Linked DNA regions of Stegostoma tigrinum. The protein of the gene in region 1 purifies or fractionates together with the protein of each later gene. This does not show direct contact. Links are inferred from orthologs where the notes say so. Each region holds a gene or a part of one and is shown in the gene's direction. Other genes may lie near its edges.

What was found. The genes of interacting proteins can lie anywhere in the genome.
Region 2: the proteins of sec13 (region 1) and sec23a fractionate together in Homo sapiens (co-fractionation; 3 studies listed by BioGRID and IntAct, with this or other methods). This does not show direct contact. The link is inferred for Stegostoma tigrinum from reciprocal best matches to the Homo sapiens genes SEC13 and SEC23A.
Region 3: the proteins of sec13 (region 1) and nup43 purify together in Homo sapiens (affinity purification with mass spectrometry; 3 studies listed by BioGRID and IntAct, counting the BioPlex papers as one, with this or other methods). This does not show direct contact. The link is inferred for Stegostoma tigrinum from reciprocal best matches to the Homo sapiens genes SEC13 and NUP43.

What each region holds. Positions count from the first base shown.
Region 1 is NC_081364.1:60,401,686-60,409,442, forward strand, and holds the start of sec13 (protein SEC13 homolog), read left to right. Parts: upstream 1-4,661; 5' UTR 4,662-4,684; coding exon 4,685-4,834; intron 4,835-7,757. Other genes in the region: cullin-associated NEDD8-dissociated protein 1-like, read right to left, coding at 1,675-1,742. UniProt on the Homo sapiens protein: Functions as a component of the nuclear pore complex (NPC) and the COPII coat. At the endoplasmic reticulum, SEC13 is involved in the biogenesis of COPII-coated vesicles.
Region 2 is NC_081363.1:58,441,961-58,449,866, reverse strand, and holds the start of sec23a (protein transport protein Sec23A), read left to right. Parts: upstream 1-4,872; 5' UTR 4,873-4,996; intron 4,997-7,906.
Region 3 is NC_081357.1:93,685,891-93,693,778, forward strand, and holds the start of nup43 (nucleoporin Nup43), read left to right. Parts: upstream 1-4,854; 5' UTR 4,855-4,940; coding exon 4,941-5,051; intron 5,052-7,888. Other genes in the region: E3 ubiquitin-protein ligase SHPRH, read right to left, coding at 1-573. UniProt on the Homo sapiens protein: Component of the Nup107-160 subcomplex of the nuclear pore complex (NPC). The Nup107-160 subcomplex is required for the assembly of a functional NPC.

The sequences.
Region 1 (7,757 bases):
GGACATCCTAGCCCACTCATCAACCACAAAGACCACATCCTCCTTCCCATGTAACTGCAGAAGTTTCAACACCTGCCCGTTCACCACCTCCCTGCTCACCATCCAAGGGCCTAAACAGTCTTTCCAGGTGAAGCAGCTTCCTCCAATCTTGCTTATTGTATTCGCCACACTACTCTACATTGGAGGGACCAAATGCAGACTGGGTGACCGCTTTTACAGAACAGCTCCAATCTGCACACAAGCACGACCCCGACCTACCCATAGCCAGTTACTTTAACAGCGTCCTGCTCACATGCCTACTTGTCTGTCCTCAGCATGCGGCAGTTCTCCAGAAAATCACAGTGCAAACCGAAGCACTACATCTTATCTTCAGACTAAGCGCTTTACAACCTCTTGGACTTAATATGGAGTTCAACACCTTCAAATTATGAACCAACTCCCATTCCTTCCCTTTCTTTTAGCTTTGTTGCATTCTCTGTCACCATGTCCTCCCTCCCCTTCTCCCACCCCAGCTGGACTGTCTGTTCTGACCTATCTGGCAGTCAGACACACCATTGTTCTGCCATTCTCACATTCTGATCACTTAATCTGAACAATCAATATCCTTTTCCCCCCAGCACTCTACACTCCACACTCCAAATACCATCCCTGCCCTCCCCCCACAACAGCATAAACACTGCCCCCTTCACACTTCATGTCAGCTCTGAAAAATCACCTAGACGCAAAACATTAGCTCGTTCTCTCTCTCTTTCCATGGATACTGCCTGACTGCTGTGATCTGCAGCATTTGTTGGTTTCAGTAGATTCCAGCATCCACAGTAATTTACTCCTAACTGAAAAAAAACTCGAGATCAAAGAGTTAAGTCATCAGCTTGACACCATTCTTGCCTTCAAGTCAAATGTTGTGGGTTCCCATCCTGTTCCTTTAACTTGTATGCATACTCCAAGCTGACACACAACTGCATTGCTAAACATATGCTGTAACAACCAGAGTGATGCCTATTGGATGTGACTGAATTGGGATCTTGCTGCCCAGTCTGAATGTGAGGGGACTGTCAGCTGGAATTGGGATCTTGCTGCCCCAGTCTGAATGTGAGGGGACTGTCAGCTGGAATTGGGATCTTGCTGCCCCAGTGTAGGGGAATGGGGTGGGGGGGGAAGAGACTGTCAGCTGTGATTGGGGTCGTGCTGCCCCAGTGTAGGGGAATGGGGTGGGGGGGGGGGGGGGAGAGAGAGACTGTCAGCTGTGATTGGGGTCGTGCTGCCCCAGTGTAGGGGAATGGGGTGGGGGGGGGCAGACTGTCAGCTGGGATTGGGGTCGAGCTGCCCCAGTGTAGGGGAATGGGGTGGGGGGGGGGGCAGACTGTCAGCTGGGATTGGGGTCGTGCTGCCCCAGTGTAGGGGAATGGGGTGGGGGGGGGGGAAGAGACTGTCAGCTGTGATTGGGGTCGTGCTGCCCCAGTGTAAGGGAATGGGGTGGGGGGGGGGGGGGGGAAGAGACTGTCAGCTGTGATTGGGGTCGTGCTGCCCCAGTGTAGGGGAATGGGGTGGGGGAGGGGCAGACTGTCAGCTGGGATTGGGGTCGTGCTGCCCCAGTGTAAGGGAATGGGGTGGATCTTGCTGCCCCAGTATAACAGAGTGTTTAAAGGAGGAGGGGGAGGGGACGGGGCCTACCTGAAGTCCTTGTCGCTGGAGGTCATTTTCTCCAGCAAGTTGGAGATGTGATAGGACACATTGGCCATGGCGGGCAGTGCGTGAGCTGCAGGCACCGAGCTTTTTTTCCCCCCCCCTCAGTGCGTCCCTCTCTGAAACAACAACAAGAAACTGCTGCTGACGCCCCCTCGAGGACCGTCCATGGGAAAAGATGGCGCCGGCAGCCGCCCCGCCCCTAAACCGGGTCACAGGTCACGGGCACAAACCATCTCCGCCAGCCCCTGGGGGGGGAGGGCGAGACAGGGAAGCAGAGGGGAACGTAATGACGTTTCTCCCTCCCCCTCGGTCTGTCGAGTGGTATCTACCAGAGAATCCCTCTGTGAGGGGGAGACTCAGGGAGGTGGAGGTCTACTGGGAATGATCACTGAGGGATCATATTAACACTTCAGGAGCAGGCAGGGAGAGATCTACTGGGACTGATCACTGAGGGTTCATATTAACACTTCAGGAGCAGGCAGGGAGAGATCTACTGGGACTGATCACTGAGGGATCATATTAACACTTCAGGAGCAGGCAGGGAGAGATCTACTGGGACTGATCACTGAGGGTTCATATTAACACTTCAGGAGCAGGCAGGGAGAGATCTACTGGGACTGATCACTGAGGGTTCATATTAACACTTCAGGAGCAGGCAGGGAGAGATCTACTGGGACTGATCACTGAGGGTTCATATTAACACTACAGGCACAGACAGGAAGAGAATCTACTGGGACTGATCACTGAGGGATCATATTAACACTTCAGGAGCAGGCAGGGAGAGATCTACTGGGACTGATCACTGAGGGATCATATTAACACTACAGGCATAGACAGGAAGAGAATCTACTGGGACTGATCACTGAGGGATCATACCCATCCATCAGGCACAGGCAGAGGGAGAGATCTACTGGCAATGATGACTTGAGGATCATATCCCAGCAGACATGGAGGGAAAAGAAGTACTGGGACTGATCATTGATAAATAATATCAACCAAAAAGAGACACAGACAGAGCTAGAGATCTACACACAATGATCACTGAGAGATCATATTAGCCCAGCAGAGACAGATCTACTGGGACTGATCACTCAGGGATCATATTAACTCAGATTAGACACAGACAGAGTTAGGGATCTGCTGGGAATGATCATTGAGGGATAATATTAACCCAGAAGACACTAGTTGAGGGAGAGATGTACTGGGAGCGATCACTAAGAGATCATATTAATCTAACAGACATTGGCCGAGGGAGAGCTCCACTGGGGTTGATCACTGGGTTTTACCCAGCAGAGGCAGATCTACTGGGACCGATCATTGAGAGATCATATTGACCCAGCAGAGACAGATCTATTGGGACTGATCACTGAGGGGATCACATTAACACATAAGGCAGAGGGAGAAATCCACTGGGAATGATCACTGAGAGCTCATATTAACTCAGCAAATACAGACAAAGAGATCAATTGGGGATTATCAGTGAGGGATCATATTAACCCAGAATAGACACAGGCAGGGTCAGAGATCTAGTGGGAATGTTCACTGAGAGCTCATATTAACCCAGCAGAGATGCAGACAGAGGGAGGGATCAACTGGCAATGATGACTGGGAGATCATATTATCTTAGCAGACATGGAGGGGGAGATGTACTGGGAATGATCATTGATAACTCATATCAACCGAGAACAGACAGAGCTGGAGATCTACACACAATGATTGCTGAGAGATCATAATAGCCCAGCAAATTTGGAGGGATGGTATACTGGAAATGATCACTGAGGGATCACATTAAACCAATGAATGCAGATAAAGAAAGAGATCTACTGGGAATGATAACCGAGAGATCATATTAACCCAGCAGATTCAGACAAAGCAATCCGCTGTCAATGAGCCCTGAGAGATCATAGTAACCTGAAAACCCAGACAATGGAAGAGCTCTATTAGGAATAATCAATGAGAAATAATATTAAGCCAGCAGCTACAGAAATCTTGGGGCAGCACAATGGCTTGGTAGGTGGTTAGCACTGCTGCCTCACAGCACCAGGGACTCAGGTTCAATCCCAGCATTCGGTGACAGTGTGGTTTGCAAATTCTCCCCATGTCTATGTGAGTTTCCATCAGGTGCTCCAGTTTCCTTTCAGTGCAAAGATGTACAGTTTATGTTGATCAGCCATGCTAAATACAAGGTCATGGGGATGGGTCAGGGTCCTGTGTTTGGGTGGGATGTTCTTCTGAGGATTGGTGTACATTCAATGGGCTGGACAGCCTTTTTGTGCATCATAGGGATTGTATGATTCTTCTATGATTGTAAATCTACTGGGAAATCCCACTGACATCATATTAATGCAGCAGACAAAGACAGACATATACTGGGAAAGATCACTGAGGGATCATATGAATCCAGCACACACTGTCAGAGAGAGATGTCTGTTGAGAATGATTATTGAGGTCAGTCCAGTGCTACTCATATTTCTTGTCATTGTGTTAATATCTCTCATTTATCATGCCCAGTTGTTCACTCTGTCTGTCTGTGTCTCTGCTGGATCGTATATGGTCTCTCAGTGGTCATTCCCACTAGATGTCTGCCTCTGTGTGTTTCTCTGCTGCTTTCATATGATCTCTCAGTTAGTGATGCTCAGAGTACTATTGATGCTCAAGATGCCAGTGATACTCAGGGTGCTAGTGATACGCAGGGTGCTATTGATGCTCAGGTTGCTAGTGATGCTCAGGGTGCTGGTGATACGCAGGGTTTTATTGATATTCAGTATGGTATTGATGCCTAGGGTGGTATTGATGCTCAGGGCACTATTGATACTCAGGGCACTATTGATGCTCAGGGCGATATTGATACTCAGGACACTATTGTTGCTCAGGGTGATACTGATGCTTGGGGCACTATTGCTGTTCAGGGCGACATTGATACTCAGGGCACTAGTGCTGCTCAGGGCGATACTGATGCTGAGGGCGCTGTGAACTGTGTCAGTGCAGCGGCTCCATGCGGAACCTTTGTTTGCGATTGGCGGCGGGAGTCGGTCGGTTTGTGGAGCGGGACAGGTTCCGGGCTGCCACGTCTGTGAGGAGCGGAAGCGGGTTGTGGGCCCGGCGTCGAGACTGCGAGCGGAGCGGCCTGCCCGGCGGAGCCATGGTGAGTTCTCCTCGCCCCGGGGGGCTCGGCCGGAGAGGCTCAGGCCTGTGTGGGGTGGGGGGAGACGGTGAGGGAGGGAACCTGAGGAGGGTGTCTCCCCACCCCAGCTCGGATTGTGTCTCCCCACCCCAGCTCGGATTGTGTCAGGAGTGAAGGGGACTCCAATCAGGCCCAGTCCTTATACTTTATTGCAGAAATACTCCACGTTCATTAAAAATGACTCCACGTACGGTTATGAAAGGATTTCTGCGCAGCCTTGCACGCGAATAACAAACACTGGAATTTGGCATTGCCCGTAGTCACAAAATCAAAACCCCAAACCACTTCTTACTTGTACAGGTTTACATTCACATACGTTTTAGACACCGAGAGGGTCTAGTAACTGAATGGACCTTCCACCCCCACCCCACCATGGACTTTGGTAAAAATACTTTAAACGGTGGCCTTTCCCCGTTGTGGCTTGGAGCATATCATCTCTGATGAAGGGTCTAGGCCCGAAACGTCAGCTTTTGTGCTCCTGGGATGCTGCTTGGCCTGCTGTGTTCATCCAGCCTCACATTTTATTATCTTGGAATCTCCAGCATCTGCAGTTCCCATTATCTCTGTTTTTTTGTAATTGCCTTCCCTATTCTGTACAACTCAGGTCGGGAGTCACCCATTCCTCTCTAACTTAGTCCCGAACATATCTTTCCCCTCCCAGAGACAGTGGGAACTGCAGATGCTGGAAAATCTGAGACGACAAGGTGTGGAGCTGGGTGAACACAGCAGGCCAAGCAACATCAGAGGAGCAGGACAGCTGACGTTTCAGGGCTGGACCCTTTTTGAGAAAATGACCACCATATGGGGGTGGCTCAGTGATTAGCACTACAGCCTCACAGCGCCAGGGACCTGGGTTCGATTCCGGCCTCGGGCAACTGTCTGTGTGGAGTTTGCACATTTTCCCTGTGTCTGTATGGGTTTCCTCTGGGTGCTCTGGTTTCCTCCCACAGTCCAAAGATGTGCAGGCTAGGTAGATTGGCCGTGCTAAATTGTCTGTAGTGTTCAGGGGTGTGTGGGTTATAGGGGGATGGATCTGGGTGGGATGCTCCAAGGGTTGATGTGGACTTGTTGGGCTGAAGCGTCAATTTCCACACTGGAGGAATTCTATGATCTATGATTTAATGATCTGCAATCTCTGAACTTTGGACCCTCATTGATTTCAGAAGAAGGGTCCAGACCCAAAACATCAGCTTTCCTGCTCCTCTGATGCTGCCTGGCCTGCTGTGTTTGTCCATCTCTATACCTTGTTCCCTCTCCCAGTCTCAGCTCGAACATCTTATTCACAGTAATTCTCTGAGCGCGCTCTGCCTTAGTCAGCTTCGTTGACTATTCCTGCTTGTGATCCTTCCCATTTCAGACAGATCTTGAATATAGAGATAACAAGGTGTAGAGCTGGATGAACACAGCAGGCCAAGCAACGTCAGAGGAGCAGGAAGGTGGATGTTTTGGGTCTAGACCTTCCTTCAGAAAATGTTTCAGGAATCGTAGGGAGAAACACTTCTTAAGGGTCTCAATGTTCTGAATGTAGACATTGTCACGGTTGGGGCCAAATGTGGGAAGGCTTGAATGTGGGCTGTAGTCCATTGGGATGATCTGGTTCCGAAGGCAGGAGCTAAGAATAGAAGCGTGGGGCTGGGTGAACACAGCAGGCCACGCAGCATCTTAGGAGCACAAAAGCTGACGTTTCGGGCCTAGACCCTTCATCAGAAAAACATGCTCATGAACCCCAACCACAGAAACTATTGGCAACAGGAGTCTCCAGTGGATCATCTCTGGGATGACTGGGATCAGTAATAATTTAGGATGGCTCTAAGCCCCTCCTCTCGGTCTGTCCTGAGCAAGGGTCACTTGAAGCGTCTTTGGAGAGCCTTGGATTCACAACAGGCTGCACTAACAACTGCTGTTTGCCATTCATTGATACCTCCAGCCAGAGGTGATAGGCTGGTGTTGACTCCACTACCTTTGGAGAAAAAAAGGCAAACAAATTTCTTTCATTTCCTTGGGACATTGCAATGTTTTGTTGTCTCTGGAAGTCCTATATGGTAAGTTTCAAATGGCTGGCGTTCAGTTCGGGTTCATGACTTGAGCACAGAATCTAGGCTGTGACAATAATAAAGCAGTGCCACACACTTGGAGCTACCATCTTTCTGAAGATATGTCAAATCAAGACCTCATCTGCACAGTCAAGGGGGCTCAAAAAGAATGGTACAAGCAGCTTCATCAATTTCTAGAATGATACAGCACATGAGATTGTTTGGCCCGTCATGCCTGTGTCAGCGTGTTTTCTGAAGGGAATTTAGAATACATGAAAAGAATTAATTACAGTGGGGAGCAGTACGAATCGGATTTGGTGAATTGTCTCCGTGTGCTGTGAGATTCTACATTGTTAATAACTTTGCACTGAGGGAATAAGTCTGTTGACAAATTTATTTAATTGTGGTTTCTAGATTCGGGGCTTCAAAAAAGTATTTGAGCATGTGTGTTAGAGTCTAATCCTTCACCAACTAGGACAGATTCAAGACCAAACAATGAGAGATGTTATAAATTTTCTGTGTATGGTGTATAAAGTCTCCATATTGAAGTGCATTATTGAGGAAATGGTAGGTTGGGTTGGGTTGAGTGCAGTTTGCAAACAGGTGACAATGCAAAATATGGCAGCAGTTGCAGTTATTCAGAGAAGCCACAGGATCGCAGCCATGTGAACAAGTCAAACTGGTGAATGGGAAGCATTTTATGAGGTTACGCCTGGAATATTTAACATGAATTACTGGATACTGGAAATATATGGGTGTACCTTGTATTGCAAGTGTCCTGGGAATAAGCTACATGTCCCTTACTTTTCTCAATGGAAAAGACTTCATGAAAAGAATGTTTCTGATAATTT
Region 2 (7,906 bases), on another chromosome or scaffold:
TGAATGATGGAGAACATGAAGTTTAGAGACAGGGAGCAACTGCAGGAAATCTGTTTAATCCAGAAACTATTTTGGAGAGATTGAAGACTGATAAATCCCCAGGGCCTGTTGAGCTATGTCCCACAGGCCTCCAGATGGTGGCTCTAGAAATAGTGGATGCATTGGTGATCAACTTACAAGATTCTTTAGACTCTCGAACAGTTCTTACAGATAGAGTATAACTAATGCAGCCCCACTATGAAGAGTGGGGTAAAGGGAAAATTATTATAGACCAGTCAGTCTAACATCGGTAGTGAGCAAGATGTTAGAGTCCATTATCAAGAATATTATACAAGTACACTGAAAAAACAGTGGTAGAAGCAGACACACAGTCTGATCTACAAAAGGGAAATCATGCTTGACAAATCTTCTGGAATTCTTGGAGGATGTAACTAGCAGAATTGATCAGAGGGAGCTAGTGGTTTACAGAAGGTTTTAGGCAAAGTCTCAAGTAACAGATTAATATGTAAGATTAAAATGCATGCAATTGGAGCTAGTATTGACATGGACAGAAAATTGATTAGCAGACCGGAAACAAGGAATAAAAGATAATATAGTATGGAGCTGGAAGAACACAACAGGCCAGGCAGCATCAGGGGAGCAGGAAAGTTGATGTTTTGGTTCAGGTTTTTCCAGCTCCATACTGTGTTATCTCTGATTCCAGTATCTGCAGTTCTTGCTATCTCATAAGAAACAAAGGGTCTTTTTCTGAATGGCATGCAGTAACTAGTGGGGTACTGCAGTAATTGGGACCCCAGCTGTTCATAATATGTTAATAGTTTAGATTTGGCAACTAAATATAATATCTTAATTTTAAGATGACACAAAGGATGCAGAGATGTTGAAATGTGTTTTGGACAACCCGACTAAGCAGGTAAATGTCAGACAATGTGGATAAATGAGAGGTTATCCACTTTGGGAGCAAAAATAGAAAGGTAAATTATTGTTTGACTGACCGTATATTGAGAGATCAAAATGTTCAACGAGACATCAGCATCGTCTTGTACGAGTCACTGAAAGTAAGCATGGAGGTGCAGTTGGCTGTGCAATTTATACAGAGCATTGGTAAGGCCACATCTGGACTACTGTGTGCAGTGTTGGTCTCCTCATTTGTGGATGAATATGCACAGTGAAGATTTTCCAAATTGATTCCAGGAAAGACAGGATTAATGTATGAGGAGAAATTGAGTTGGTTACAACTGTAAACACTGGTGTTTAGAAGAATTCTCATAGAATTTTATTGGTTTCTAACAGGATTAGACAGGTTAGATGCAAGATTGACGTTCCTGGTAGTGAGAGAGTCCAGAACCAGGAGTCACATTTTAATAATAGTGAGATGAGAGTGGTGAGCCTGTGAATTCACTTCCACAGAAACTGGTTTCGGTCAGAACATTATGTTTTCAAAATGAGGCAGATGTAGCTCTTGTGGCTAAAGGGATGAAGGGTTATGGGAGGAGACCAGGATCACCAAACTACCAGGAAATGCAGCGTAGGACAATAGGAAACCTGCCTGAGTACCAGCTTCATATCCACAGGAGGTGCTTTCCAGGAGTCTTATGCCCACTGATCCTCCCATTCTCAGCCCCACCCCATTTATTCATTCATTGGAGGTCCCTCACAGATGAGGATGATTCTCTTCAAATCTCAGGGTGAGTCAATAGGTAGCTGTGCAGACTAATGCAACTTCTGCAGGCTCTGTTACACTTGCAGCAGAAGGTGGTTGCAGGAAGAGGTGGGTGGGGCATTAGTGTGGCAGCCCGCTCCTTATGCTGTTTTTGCCTGGCTTTGCTTTTTTCTGACAGTACATCCCAAGGTTCCAGATGCTCGTCTTCCACTTTGGACTACCTTGAGCCAGTGATTCTCAGAAGTACGTAGGAATGCTGCACTTTGCCACTGAGGCCTTGACAACATCGCCGAATCACTTCCTCTGTCCACCTGAGGCTCGCCTGCTGTTTCAGAACTGAGAGTAGAGCATGTGCTTGGGGAGTCTCGTGTCAGTCATACAGATGATGCGCCCAGCCCATTGCAGCCGATCAAGTGTGGTCAGTGCTTCGATATTGGCCTATTCCAGGATGCTGGTGTTGGTGTGTCTTTCTTCCCAGTGGTTGCGCAGGATCTTGCACAGGCAGCGTTGGTGGTACTGCTCCAGCACCTTAATGTGTCTGCTGTAAACAGCCCACATCTCAGAGCCATATAGGAGGGTGGGAACCACCTTGGCTCTGCAGATCATGAAAGTGGTGTCAGATCTGATGTTGTTCTTGAACACCCTTTTCCTCAGACAGCTGAAGGCGGAAGATCCAGGTGGTGCTGGATCTCTTCATAAATAGTTGCTTTGGCCAACAGGGCACTCCTGAAGTATTGGAAGTTGTCAACTTTCCTCTCAGGCCTCCCTGAGGACCATGAAGATTGGGCATTCGCTCAACAATGCCAGGCCAATTTGGTGGATATTCAGGGTGAGACCCATGTTCTCATATGCCTTGGTAAAGGTTTGAGGTTTTTGACTTGCTTGCCGAGCTGGCTTGTTTTTGTTCAGATGTTTCATCACCGTGCTAGGTGACATCGTTATTGGAGCCTCCGGTGAAGCGGAGTTATTCTACTCCACTTGTCTGTTATGGTGAGTAATGTCATTTCCGGTTTTGATCTGTATCGGTAAAGGTGTTAACGATGGCCTGGTGTACGTCCTCTGAGATTGCACATTCTCAGGCATCATTCGCATGCTGCAGCTTGATGACATTGCTTGGGTGGTTCTGGCTTAAAGGTGATGGAGGTTGAATCATTTCCTGCTGGTTCTGTAAGTTAGCTCCACTTCAGCAGGGAGCTTATTGGCCTTGAGGTGAAGCACTGCAGTGAGATGGATCAAGAACTGTTGGGACTATGATGGAGCCCTGCTTGACACTGGTCTCAATGGAGAACGGATGAGTGGTGGTGTCATTACTACAACTTTGCATGTTGTTGTGGTGCAGGCAAAGGATGATGATAAAGTTTTGTGGTACAATCAAAGCAGAGAAGGACACTCTATCATGCTTCCTCATTGACAGTGTCGAAGCCCTTTGTAAGATCAAAAAGGCTCTGTACAGGGATAGGTTCTTTTCTCTGCATTTCTCCTGCAGCAACAATCACATCTGTGTGCCCCTCTGTGGCTGAATGCCACACTGCAATTCTAGGAGGAGTTCCTCAGCCACAGAGAGGAGACTGTTGAGGAGGATCTTGAATGATGACTTTTCCAACAGTCAACAGCAGGGAGATTCCCCTTTAATTACTTGTTCCCTTTTTTGAAAATGTTCATGACTGTAACATCTCAGAGCTCTCGGGATGCTCTCCTCATTCCTGATAAGTAGACAAGGGCATGTAGCTGTAGCAGGAGCACTTTGCCTTCACAGTTCAGTGCCTCAGAAGGGATACCGTATGCTCCAGCAACCTTGCTGTTAAACTGCCGGATGGCCTTTTTTACTTCATGCAGGCTGGGGTGTTGCTGAGCTCATGGCATGTAGTGTGCTGGGTGATATGTTCAAGCATGGCCGGATCCATGCCAGCGTCCTGGGTGAGAAGCTTCTGAAGTGCTCCCCAGCTTTGTTTCTTTGTCTTTGTCACTCTGTCCTTGGCCAGCAGTGGGTTGCAGCCTTAGGTGTTTGGTCCAAAAGTGGTCTTGATAGCATAGAGAAAACCTTGCACATCATGGCTGTTGGACAATCGTTTGGCCTGAAATGCTTCCTCCACCCACCAGTTATTCTTAACGTCACAAGTTTTTTGTTGGATCTCTGCCTTTAAGCCTGACTTTTTTCTTCAGAATGTGGTTGTTGCTTTCCACTCAGAAATGCAATGCACTTTCAGCTTATCAGTTCTTAGATCTCCTGATCATTCTCATCAAACTGGTCTTGGTGTTTCCTGTTTGAGAAATCGACTTGAGTTTTTGCAGGCATTGACAATGGTAGTCTTGAGGGCAGACCAGAGACTGTTACGATCCTGTGGCTCTGTGTCGCTGACAGTCACTAAGTCTATGGAGAGGAATTGGTTGCATGAGGCGAATGTTTTCTGGATTTTGAGAGCCTCAATGTTGAACTTCTTGTGACACTGCTTCTATTACGGTGGAGCTCTATTTATATTAATCCTGGCATTGGATCCGGCGATGGTCTGTCCAGCAGTTGTCGGCTCCTGTCATAGCGCAGGTGGTTTTGACATCTTTCTGATCCCTTGCTGTGATGATAATGTAGTCAACGAGGTACCACTGTTTGGAACACAGTTGCTAGTTGCACAGTCTTCTAATTGTCCCTTGGCAGAACAGTGTGTTGGTAATGAGGGGAATGTGATTGTGGCATTTTATTCACGAGTGCCATTGAGTTTTGCTTTGCAACTCTCTCTTTTCTGATTACATCGCCCCAAAGTATGTACTTCTGCGGACTCTGGTCTTGGAGTCGTCAAGAACGACTAGTTTGCCCGCCTCAGGGACCCGTGAGAGAGATCGGTCAAGGCTGGAGTAGAATTCCTTCTTGGGCTCACCTGCAGCATTGATCTTCGGTGCATGTGCTCTGCATACTGTGACACACTGGTTCCGAACGAGGTTGAGTCTGGGTGGTAACGTGTGGCATTCGCTTGTTCATTCCCACCTCCAGCTTCGTCTCCGCCCACGGTTTGGTCTCACCTTCCTCTGGTCCTCCCCCTCCCTCGGCCATTGTCCTGCGCAGTAGCCCCATGGCTGTTACGGCAGTATGGCTCCGCCCTCTACCCGCCAAAGCCCCGCCCCTATCAACTGCCCCACCCACGGCGCTAGGCCCGGCCCCCACCTGGTGCTTCACGCTCAGCGCTACGCCCCGCCCCGCGCCTTGGCCACGCCCCCACTGGGCGGGAGTCGCCTCCTGTCGCTACGTGGCAGAGTCTGCCATATTGACCGCGTCAGCTGTGCGTGCAGAGCCGGTAACTGCTGTGCCTGAGGCCGGAGGGTGTGATAGGCCTTCTTGTGGTGAGTGGCTGCTGTCGCCATAACCGGCACCGAACTTAGATCACGGTGGCGGGGTCATGTTGCGCCTAGAGTTACACTCTGGATCCGGTAGCGGTTTGAATCTGTGGGTGAGCTGCTCAGTTTCACTTGGCTTCCCGGTGTGAAGTACCTGCTCACACTGAATCCCTGAGTGCAGGGAGAGAGGTGCCTTGTGTCGGGGGCCACAAGGGTTTGAAGTGCCCTCTGTTACTGGGCAGTTGGTGGAGGGTGAGCGATGCCCGGTATCGCTGAACTCTTAAGGTGGGAGGTGTCGCTGGGCTCACGGTTAGGGGTTTGAGGTGCCCGGTGTCATTGGGCACCTCACATCTTCCCACCGCAGCGAGGCCAGAAACACTGGGTACTTTACCCCCACCCCGCATTCCATGTTACTGGCCTCGGGGAGTCGGGTAGGTTGGTTGGGGTGGGGGTGTGCTTGTGGGAATAGATGTGAATAGACTGTGTAAATTGCTCGGTGTCAATATCCGAGCACCGTGTGATGGATTGGGCAGGCACCGGACACCGTGCCAATGACACTGGGTTTGGGTGGACACTGAGCTGAAGGTGGGTGTGAGATTTGGAGTCGGAGAAAAGGGTCTATGGTGCTTGATGCCCCTGGAATTTTGTCATTAGGATTGGTGAGATGCCCAGAGTCACTGGATTGCCTGTGTGTCTGTTGTCATTGGGCTGGTGGAGTAGGGAGGGACTGAGAAGGTGTTTTGTGTCAGATGTTGGTGAGATGTCTGATATTACTAGTGTGTGGAGTTTGTAAATGTATGCAAGGTATTGTTTATATATGCCAGAGCTGTAGGAGATGATGTACGAAGTTCCTCTGTTCTTCACCACAAACTCTCTCAGGTACTTGGATTTTTCTGGAGTAACCTATGATCTATTGATTGCTCCAGTATCTGTGGGAATATGAGAAATCTACATACTTTGCATGTTATCTGGGATTTTTGACTACTCTAATTTAAAGTTAAACAGGTCCTTGATCTCAGGTCAGGTCTTCACTGCTAGTTCTGATCCTGGGCCCTTGCTTCCCTCCTGAATTTAAACTGAGGTCCTGGGGTCGATTTATGGCAGAGGTTGGTTAGTGTAGGTAGTCCTGTGAGTACCCCTGTGCTGACCAGCTGCTGCTGGATGAGCCTGGTTAATCATCAGTGCGATAGAAGTAGTAATTTTAACCATATTTTTCAGTTCACTTTAAGATTTTTATTTATCAGTGTTGGAATTGCAGCAACTTAAAATGACACTACACTTCAGTTCAGAAGAGTACAGGTACAATGTTTTAATTTTGTTCTCTGTGAAAAAAGGCTCAGTAGAACATCAATCATTTTTTTAAATGCTTAAGTTAAAGTCAATTTTCAAGAACGTAACCCTGACTTTAGTTGAGGCCAACTGTACTGAAATGAAAGAAGTATACACAAATACAAATTTCACCAAGAATCAGTGTTAAGTCTTTAGATAGTGGCAAGAGCAAGGCAGGTGTTGCAAAAAACGCATCACTTGGCTAAAGCAAATTTAGACAGAATATTCCCGAAAGGGCTACATTTGTTTAATATTGTTTCCATTTGAAGTCCTTGGAGAAGTAGCGGTTTCAATTACTAACAAACATGTTGTTTGCTAAATTACTTCAAAACAGCACCAAGATCTCTATGCAATTATTGGGACGTAACTGAGCGAGTCGTTTTAAAATTTGCTAACGTAAATCAGTATAATTTTGAACACGTCCTGTTGTGCACTACTATTAGTGCAATATTGTTTTGTAAATTTTGTATTCTGGAACTTAATTAACTACATCCCTGTTGAAAACTCTTGAAATGCATCGATTTAGTATCTGTCTCTGAATAGCTTTCTATGCAATATTTAATTACCCCAGGCCTTTGTTTTTATAGAACGTAGAACGTTACAGCGCTGCACATGTTCTGTTTTACTACATGCAGACCTTCCTTAGCTCTCCTGATTTCCCTTTTTGCTTTTCTATAATGTTATGCTTAGTTGATTTTCTTGACTAGCTTTTATCTTGAGTCTTATTTGAATTTCTTTCCTCTTTCAAAGGACTCCAGCTTTTGCAACTCTGTTCCTTGTAGAGCTTGTACCTATATCATCTCTTGCTTATCCATATCCACTAAATTTTCTCTCGAGTTTATCTCAGTTTCTGTTTATTTCATAATCATTTTTTCAGCTTTTATGTTAAATGTAATTTCATTTACTGTTAAACTTGTTAAGTGTTTTCCACACTTTGCTTTGCCTACTTGGCCTTTCTTAATTTTTGATAACTGGCTCTGGCACTTTTTGGGAAAATAATAAGCACTGACATAAAACAATCTCAGATACATTGTAAAGACTCACCTGTAATAAATTGACTGTATCTTTACTACTCATTATTTTTCCCTATCTCTGAAAAACAAAATCATTCATGTTCTTGCTGTTTTTGTGCACCTCTTCCACTATTTTCTTTCTGTCGCTTTCATTCTAAATTCCATGCAAAGTTGAACTTTTGAATTATCCCCATGATCATCGTTGTGATTAAATATTTTATTAGTCATGTCACCACATTTCCCTTTTTCATGATCTAACCTACTTTTTTGTAACTAGGAATATGTAGCTTACAGCCCTGCTTTAGCTGAAACAACATTGCTGTTAAATAATCTCTCTGCCAACGCTTGTATATTGTTTTACATTGCTATCTTTATGTAGTTCATCAATTTTTATCTCAGCTCTTTGTGCATTTCCAACTCAAATTTCTTCTCTTTACGGATCTTTTTTACTCCCTATATAAATTGTTATAAATTGTTTGTAACTTTGCTGTTTCACCCTTCTAGCCTTTCTGCAATATTGTTCTTGCTCTCAGTTCCTTCCTCATCTCCCCATCTTCCTTCCCCCATTGACTAT
Region 3 (7,888 bases), on another chromosome or scaffold:
CAATCCAATTACATTCTTTTTCTGAAGCCATGTTAGGTCCTCCAGCATCTTAAAAGTGAGTGAAGTTCTTACACAGCTTATGAATTCTTCGTTGTCATCCCTTTCAGAATCATCACATTTCCTCTTGATTGAGACTTGCAGCTGATCATCAGCACTGGTCTTCATCAAGCCTATGCTGAGAAACCACAGTTCCTCTGGAAATGCTTGCCGTGTTGCAAGTTGGACTGTAAACCTGTGCAGCAGTGCTCGCCACTCTTCACCCAAGTGGCCAGGGGAGACAGAAAGACTGATCTGGGTGGTGGTACTTAATGGCAAAAGATGACTTTCTCCATCCTCGACCTGAGTCACAGCTGAGATATTAAATGGCTCATCCTGTTTCAAACTGCTAGGCTGGAGAAGGGTTGTCTCTCTGTATCCTGGGAGACCTGAGCTCAAGGCTAAGGGATTATTACAGTCATTTGATCGATCAAGTGCATGGAGATCCTTCAAGTCATCACACATATTCCAGCTCAGCTTTTTTTTTGTTTCTTCGTCTACTCGCACCGGGGCTGCACGCTTCCTTCTGTTGCTCATTGTACCAGCTTAGTGCAAGTTCACAGCTGCAAACAAAAAAGTATAAAAATATGAAATTCTCCTAGTAAAAAAGGATGAATGAAGCATTTATTGCTCTGAACAGTCAGTTAGGAATGCAACACAAGACGAGGACGTTCATTTTGTTATTGAGCTATTCAACTAAATCAGCATGGATTTGTATCTCAATCCAACCTTGATTCTGTAACCCTTAAAATCCCCACTCATTTATCATTCTCAATTTTGAAATTTTCTACTGAAAACTGCTTTTATATTGGGGATGATAGAGGAGAGATGTCCAGATTTTCACCACTCTTCATGTGAAGAAGTGATTCCTGATTTCACTGTGATCTCCTAAGGTTTCTCTGGTCCTCCCCATTACTAATCTATTGCCTTTCAGATAATAATCTGTCTTCCTGTTTTTGACCTCACATTTATTCACCTGCCATGTATTTGTCATTTTTTTTACTGCCAAATGTGCATATTTAGATTGTATCTTACATTTAACAATTTAGTTCAGTCGTAGCCTTTTGTAAAACTTAATTAATTCACAAACATTTAGTTGGAAATGGTTTAAAGCTAAGCAAATGGAAAATATATATGTATATCGTGGAAACAAACAAATGAGAAACAGAGTACATTATGACTGTCAGAAAAAGCAACTGGTCCAGATCAATCATAACATTTATATAAAAGACACAAATTAACGAAGCATCACAGCTCATGCATTTCTTCCAAAAATAAATCAAAACATTGAGCAAATTATATGAAATATAAATTAGAGAAACAGGTTATTTGGCCCAACCAGTCTTTGACAATTTTTGTGCTTCACATAAGCCCCACCCCCCAGCCACCTTCACATAACCCAATCAGTAGATCCTTCTATTTCTTTCAGTCCTCTGTGCTCATCGTACTCCCTCCAGAATGGATTCATGTTACACTTTTGACTTGGTCAATTAGTGAAGTTGGTTGATCTGTATCTTAATTCCATCCATTGACCTTGGTCAATAATCCTTCATAACCATGACTATCAAAAATCTTTGAATTTCAGATTTATAGCCATTGATTGAACTAACATGTATTGTTATGGTATGGTCCACCACCCTATGCATGAATAAATGTTTCCTAATTTCAGGTCTGAATTGACTGTATCTAATTTTATGACCACATCCTCTCATCCTACCACTCAAAACATTTCCTCTCTATCCTAGCAATTGCTTTCTAAACCCTAAAACCCTCAGTCAAATCACTCATAACCTTCTATGTTCAAGATAGTACAAGACCAACTTAAGTAATCCTCCTCGATAATGTAGTCCTTGAAGCCAAGGTATTATTCTGGTGAATATTCTGCATTGCACACCTTTCTAGGCCACTGAAGGTGTGCTGTCGAGAACTGTATGCGGTACTTATATGTGATCTAGATCAGGGCTTTGCATAGCTGTAGCAAAATCACCTTTGTATTCCAGCTCTGATAATTTATTGTTCCTGATGATGACATTTTAACTATCTTTATATATGGACCCCACATCACTTTCAACTTCCATTGTTCCTAGCTTTTCACTATTAAAATAATACTCAGTGATCCTGTTGTGGGTAGTCTCATATCTTACCTCATTAGGGGAGATAATGGTATAGTTTATCGTGGCTGCATTAATAATTCAGAGACAATGCAAATGTTCTATGTATTCGGTGCCAAATCCCACTACAGCAGATGACGGAATTTGAATTAAATCAAAAAATCTGCAATTACAAGTCTAACAATGTGCAAGTCAGTTGGATTGGCTATGCTAAATTTTCCAGAAGATTCCACAACCAACGATCAGATCTCAGCTGTCCGTTCCTGACACATTCAGTCATGAATGGTGGTGGACAATTAAACATCTCACCGGAGGAAGCAGCTCCACAAATTTCCTTATCTTCCATAATACCAGACTTCAGCACGCTAGTGCAAAAGATAAGGCTGAAGTATCTGCATCAATCTTCAGCCAGAGATGCTGACTGGATGATCCATCTTCAGCTCCTCCAAAGGTTACCACTGTAACAAATGTCAGTCTTCAGCTAAGTAGATTCACTTCATAGGACATCAAGAAACAGCTGGAGGTACTGCAAAGGCTATGGGCCGTGACAACATTTCGGCAGCAGTACTGAAGATTTGTGCTCCAGAGCTGGCTGCGCCTGTTGCCAAGCTGTTTCAGTACAGCTACAACACTGGCATCTACCTGACTGTGCAGAAAATTGAACAAGTGTGTTGCACAATTCATCATTCTGCTGATTCAAATTCTCTCTTCCTTTAAAAACTAAACATTGAACCAATCAGTCCAAATGAACAACATGGATAAGACACCAAGGAGGATTTAGTACTCAAAATAAACATTTGAATCAAAAACCATTTTAATCCCAAGTATTTTAGAGATTAAACAATCATAAGTTTAAACTTTCTCTATCTTATCATGTTAAATAGTTCTTAGTAAGTTATGTAACAATAACACCTTCATTAGTTCCAACATATCTAAATTGAAACAGATTTGTTCTCCAACATATTAGAAATTAGTTGGAAAAAAAATCAAAGAAACTCATACGTCCTGTTAGATGGCAGGAAGAGGTACAGTCTATCAACTGCCCTGAGAGAATTACATTGATGAATATGAGAAAACCATGGTCACTAAATGTATTCATCAATTTTCTTCTGTTAAAAGTTAAAGCCGCAGAAGAGAAAGCATTATGTTAAATTCAAGCCAGGGATCCGGCTTCGATTTCAGCCTCGGGCGACTGTCTGGGCGGAGTTTGCACATTCTCCCAGTGTCTGCGTGGGTTTCCTCCGGGTGCTCCGGTTTCCTCCCACAGTCCAAAGATCTGCAGGCTAGGTGGATTGGCCATGCTAAATTGCCTGTAGCGTTCAGGGGTATGTGGGTTATAGGGGGATGGGTCTGGGTGGGATGCTGCAAGGGGCGGTGTGGACTTGTTGGGCGAAGGGCCTGTTTCCACACTGTAGGGAATCTCATCTAAACAAGTGCAAGATTTTTGGAAGCAATTTTTTCTAAAGGAAAACAAAAATCACCATTTTAGATTAGAAACATTGGCCGGATAATTATTTCTGAAGCACACATGGGAGCTGCACACAGTGACCCTGCAGACACACCAACACATTCTGGTCAGATTTTCTGAGGAGCAGAAGTACACATAATTTGCCACTCTGCGCCTTCTTTTTAAACAGAACAAAAAAGCTCTGTATTCCTGACAGGAGACTCTGACCATGGCTCCTTCATTAACGTGGTGTTGTACTTTTACTCTGGCAGGTCCATATCTTGCAGGCTGTGGGGTGAAAGTAAACTGTGACTCCTTTTTCATAGCATCAGCAATCATCACAGACAGCCACTTTTAAAAAGCTCCGGAGAGACGGTAAGTACATAAGTGTGAGGTTAGGGTGCCTCCTCCAGTGCCACAATGATGCCAACCAAAGGTTGCAGGAACAGCCACCTCATATTTCGCTTGGGAAACCTGCAGCCCAATGGTATCAATGTGGACTTCACAAGCTTCAAAATCTCCCCTCGCCTGACCGCATCCCAACAACAGCCCAGCTCGTCTCCGCCTCCCTCACCTGTCTGTCCTTTCTCCCACCTACCGACTCCTCCCACCTTAACCCACACCCCCACCTCCACCTCCTAGACCTGTCCGTCTTCCCTTGACTGACCAATCCCCACCGTAACTCCCCAGCTACACTCACCTTTACCGGCTCCACCCCCCACCTCCTTGACCCGTCCGACATAACAAGGTGTAGAGCTGGATGCACACAGCAGGCCAAGCAGCATCAAAGGAGCTGGAAAGCTGACGTTTCGGGCCTAGATCCATATTCAGAAATGAAGGCCTAGGCCCGAATGGGGGTATATCGGTCTAGGCCCGAAACGTCAGCTTTCCTGCTCCTCTGATGCTGCTTGGCCTGCTGTATTCATCCAGCTCTACACCCTGTTGTCTCAATGTTTCACAAGATACGCGATCAGGGACAGACAATCAGCTTTTCCGGGTGATACTGACTGACGAATGAATACCAGGCCGGGGCGAATCGCCCTGTTCTTTGCGCAAATAGAACGGTAGGGTTTTATATGAAAGGGCAGACAGTGCCCTCAGTTTGAGACATCCGCTCCCTGATACCAATCGTGGATTTTATAATCACTCTAACGCTGATAATCGATGCTACTCACAGTTAAACCCCAGAGCCTGAAGTTTCCAAATAAATAATAAACGGTTCAGAAACAATAAACAGGGCCGGAAGAGCTGGACGGCTGACCCCCGGATGTTGATGATATTTTCCAGGAAGTTGTCTGTGTTAACTCGGAAGTTGCCGGCCCGCGGTCGTGGCTTTCCCCGTTGACATGGAGGCTCGCTATGTTTCACAGAAGATCAGCCGGGTCCGCTGGCTCCCGGTATCCGGCTCCAGTCTGCAGCTTCCTGAATGCTTCGCCACCGGATCCTGGGATGCTGAGGTGAGCAGAGCAGCAGCCGAGGGAAGGACAAATACGTTAGCATGGTCATCCGGGAGAGAAGGAGAGGGGAACAGAATTGGACCGAGGGCGGTGGGTGTAGGGACCCCCCAAGAGAAAAGACAGAAGTCCGCCGGCAGCAGTCAACCTGGATAAAAGGCATGCGGCATCCTCTTCTTTATAAATACACGAAATGTTTTTAAAAAGATCAAAAGAATGGAAACCAAGCTAGTTTTAAAAGAGAGGAGAAAGCTGTGGTTCGCAGCAATTAATTAGACTGGCAAAAAAAAATCGAAGTGGTGCTCCCCATCCTGGGATATCAATATTGCAAATAGTTTGAAGTAGGAGTTGAAAATACTGTACACTTTAAAATCCTGCACGTGACACCAAACTTGGCAGTGGAGAAGTGAGGGTAAATGACAAAATACAGAACTTCAATAAGAATACTAATATAAGCTGCAAGTGAAGTACAGTCGTGGACAATTACTTGCTAACAAGTATGCTGATCAACCAAGGACATTCTGTGGTCATTAATCATGTGTTCTGTGGGTATTTGCGTGGCTGAGCCCGATTCTCGACCAACATTTCTGACCACATATTTGCTAGGTGTTTACTGAAGGTGGAAGTGGTCCTTGGCCTTCTGATCATTGGCATTTCTCAGGTTCCTTTTCCATACCCCCTTTTTCTGATGGGTGTTCTCAAAGAATTGTGACTCTTCATAGAATTAGTGTGGATATAGGCCATCTGGCCCAACAAGTCCACAGCCACTCTCCAAAGAGCATCCCATCCAGTCCCATCCCCCTCCCTTTTCCTGTAACCCTGCATTTCCCATGACTAATCCACCTAATTGACACACTTGTGGACACTCTGGGTAATTAAGCACAGCCAATCCACCTTACCTGCACATCTTACACTGTGGCAGGAAGCCTAAACATACGCAGACACAGGGAGAGTGTGCAAACTCCATATAGGCAGTCACGTGAGGGTGGAATCAAACCTGGCACTGTGAGGCAACAGTGCTAACCACAGAGCCACCATGCCATCCACAGGCTTTCGACAGGAGTTTCCATCAAGTCAGTTTCTTCTGAATGAGGGTTTCCTATGTGTTCACATCTATCTTGCCATTCTTGATGTAAGCTTTCAGGAGACTTTAAAACACATCCTATGTCCTCCTTTTGCTCGAGTGCCTCCTTTGAGCTGGGTGAAGATTTGTTTTGACAGTCAGAACTCAAACATCCTAAGCATACGGCCAGCCCACCAGAATTGATTCTGGATGAAGCCTTGAAGCTGTTGTATTATACGTTTCAAGGAATGCTAATGTTAGTACACCTACCATCCTGAATCATAAGGAGAATCCATCTCAAACAATGTGGATGGTACTTCTCAAGGATCTTAAGGTGGCATTTATGTATAATCCAAGTTTCAGAGCTATGTAGAAGAGTCTGAAGAATGATTACCTTATACACAAGGATTTTGGCATCAGCACGGATGTTACAAACATTGAATACTCTCATCATTAGTTGTCCAAAAGCAGCACTCGTAGATTGAATGTGATGTTGCATCTCTGCATTGGTATCAGCCATTGATGAGAGGTAGCTTCACAAATAAAGGAAATGTTTAGTAGTTTGGAGGATTTCTTCATTAATCTTCATAGAGGGATGGACTGAACTTGACCAAGGAGAGCTTGGTAAAACTTTGAGCCTTCAAGGTTGAAACTAATTCTTCAGGTACTTCCTTGAAGACATTAAGCATGGTTTGAAGATTCTGTTCTGAGATAGTGGAGATGACATTGCCATTTGTATACTAATATTCAATAAGTAATATCCATGTCATTTTCTTCTTGGATTTCAACTGATTAAGGTTGAAGAGTTTTCCATCCATCTTGGAGACAATGTTCACATTAATAGGAAGTTTGTTCTTGAAGAAACTGAAGAATTCTGGTGATGAAGATGGAGAAAAGGGCAGTGGTGATGATATATCCCTGCTTGACCCCTGAGATGACCTCAAAAGATTCTGTCATATTCCTGACGGAGGCTCATCACTACTATCTTATGCTAGAGATGGAGGATGTTGATGAATTTCACTGGACAGTCAGCCTTTGCAAGGGTCTTCCATAACACTTCCCAACTGACTGAGTCAAAAGTCTTGATCAGATTGATGAAATCCACGTAGAGTGGTTGGTGGTTTCTTGGAGTTCCGAGCAGTGAAAATCATGATGACAGTTCCACACTTCTGTCAGAAAACGCACTGCTTTCCAGAACAGTTTCCTCTGAGTCTGGGAGAAGGCAGTTAATAAGGATTCAGGTGATGATCTTCCTGGTGATGGAATGAGGGGAGATTTCTCAGTAGTTCCCAAGACCATTTTGTCTCCTTTCTTGAGGACAGTGGCGATGGCAGCATCCCTGAAATTGGCAGGGATCTCTTCTTTGTCCAGATTTTCAGAAACAGTTGATGGAGATGACAGGTAAGCTTTGCTCCTCCAACTTTGAAAATCTCCACTAGAATCCCATCTATTCCTGTTTCTTCACCTTCATCTGTTTCTAGTGTCATTTGATGGACATTGGGGAGGGGAGGAGTCAGTGGTCTGTCCATCAATTGTCTGCACTAGGTCATCACTTTGGTAATCTTTTTGGTCTCTGGGCTGAGCAATGACATAATTAATTATGTGCCAGTGCATTGATTATGGATGCCTCCAAGAATTCTTGAATTTATCTTTTCGGAGCAAGAAATGTATTGGTGATGTACATTTGCTGAGTGTGAATCCTTTCAGAGTTGCAATACCCGACTCCTTGTCCAGAGTTGTGTGTCTTTTCTGACTTGAGCATTCAAGTCCCCATGAG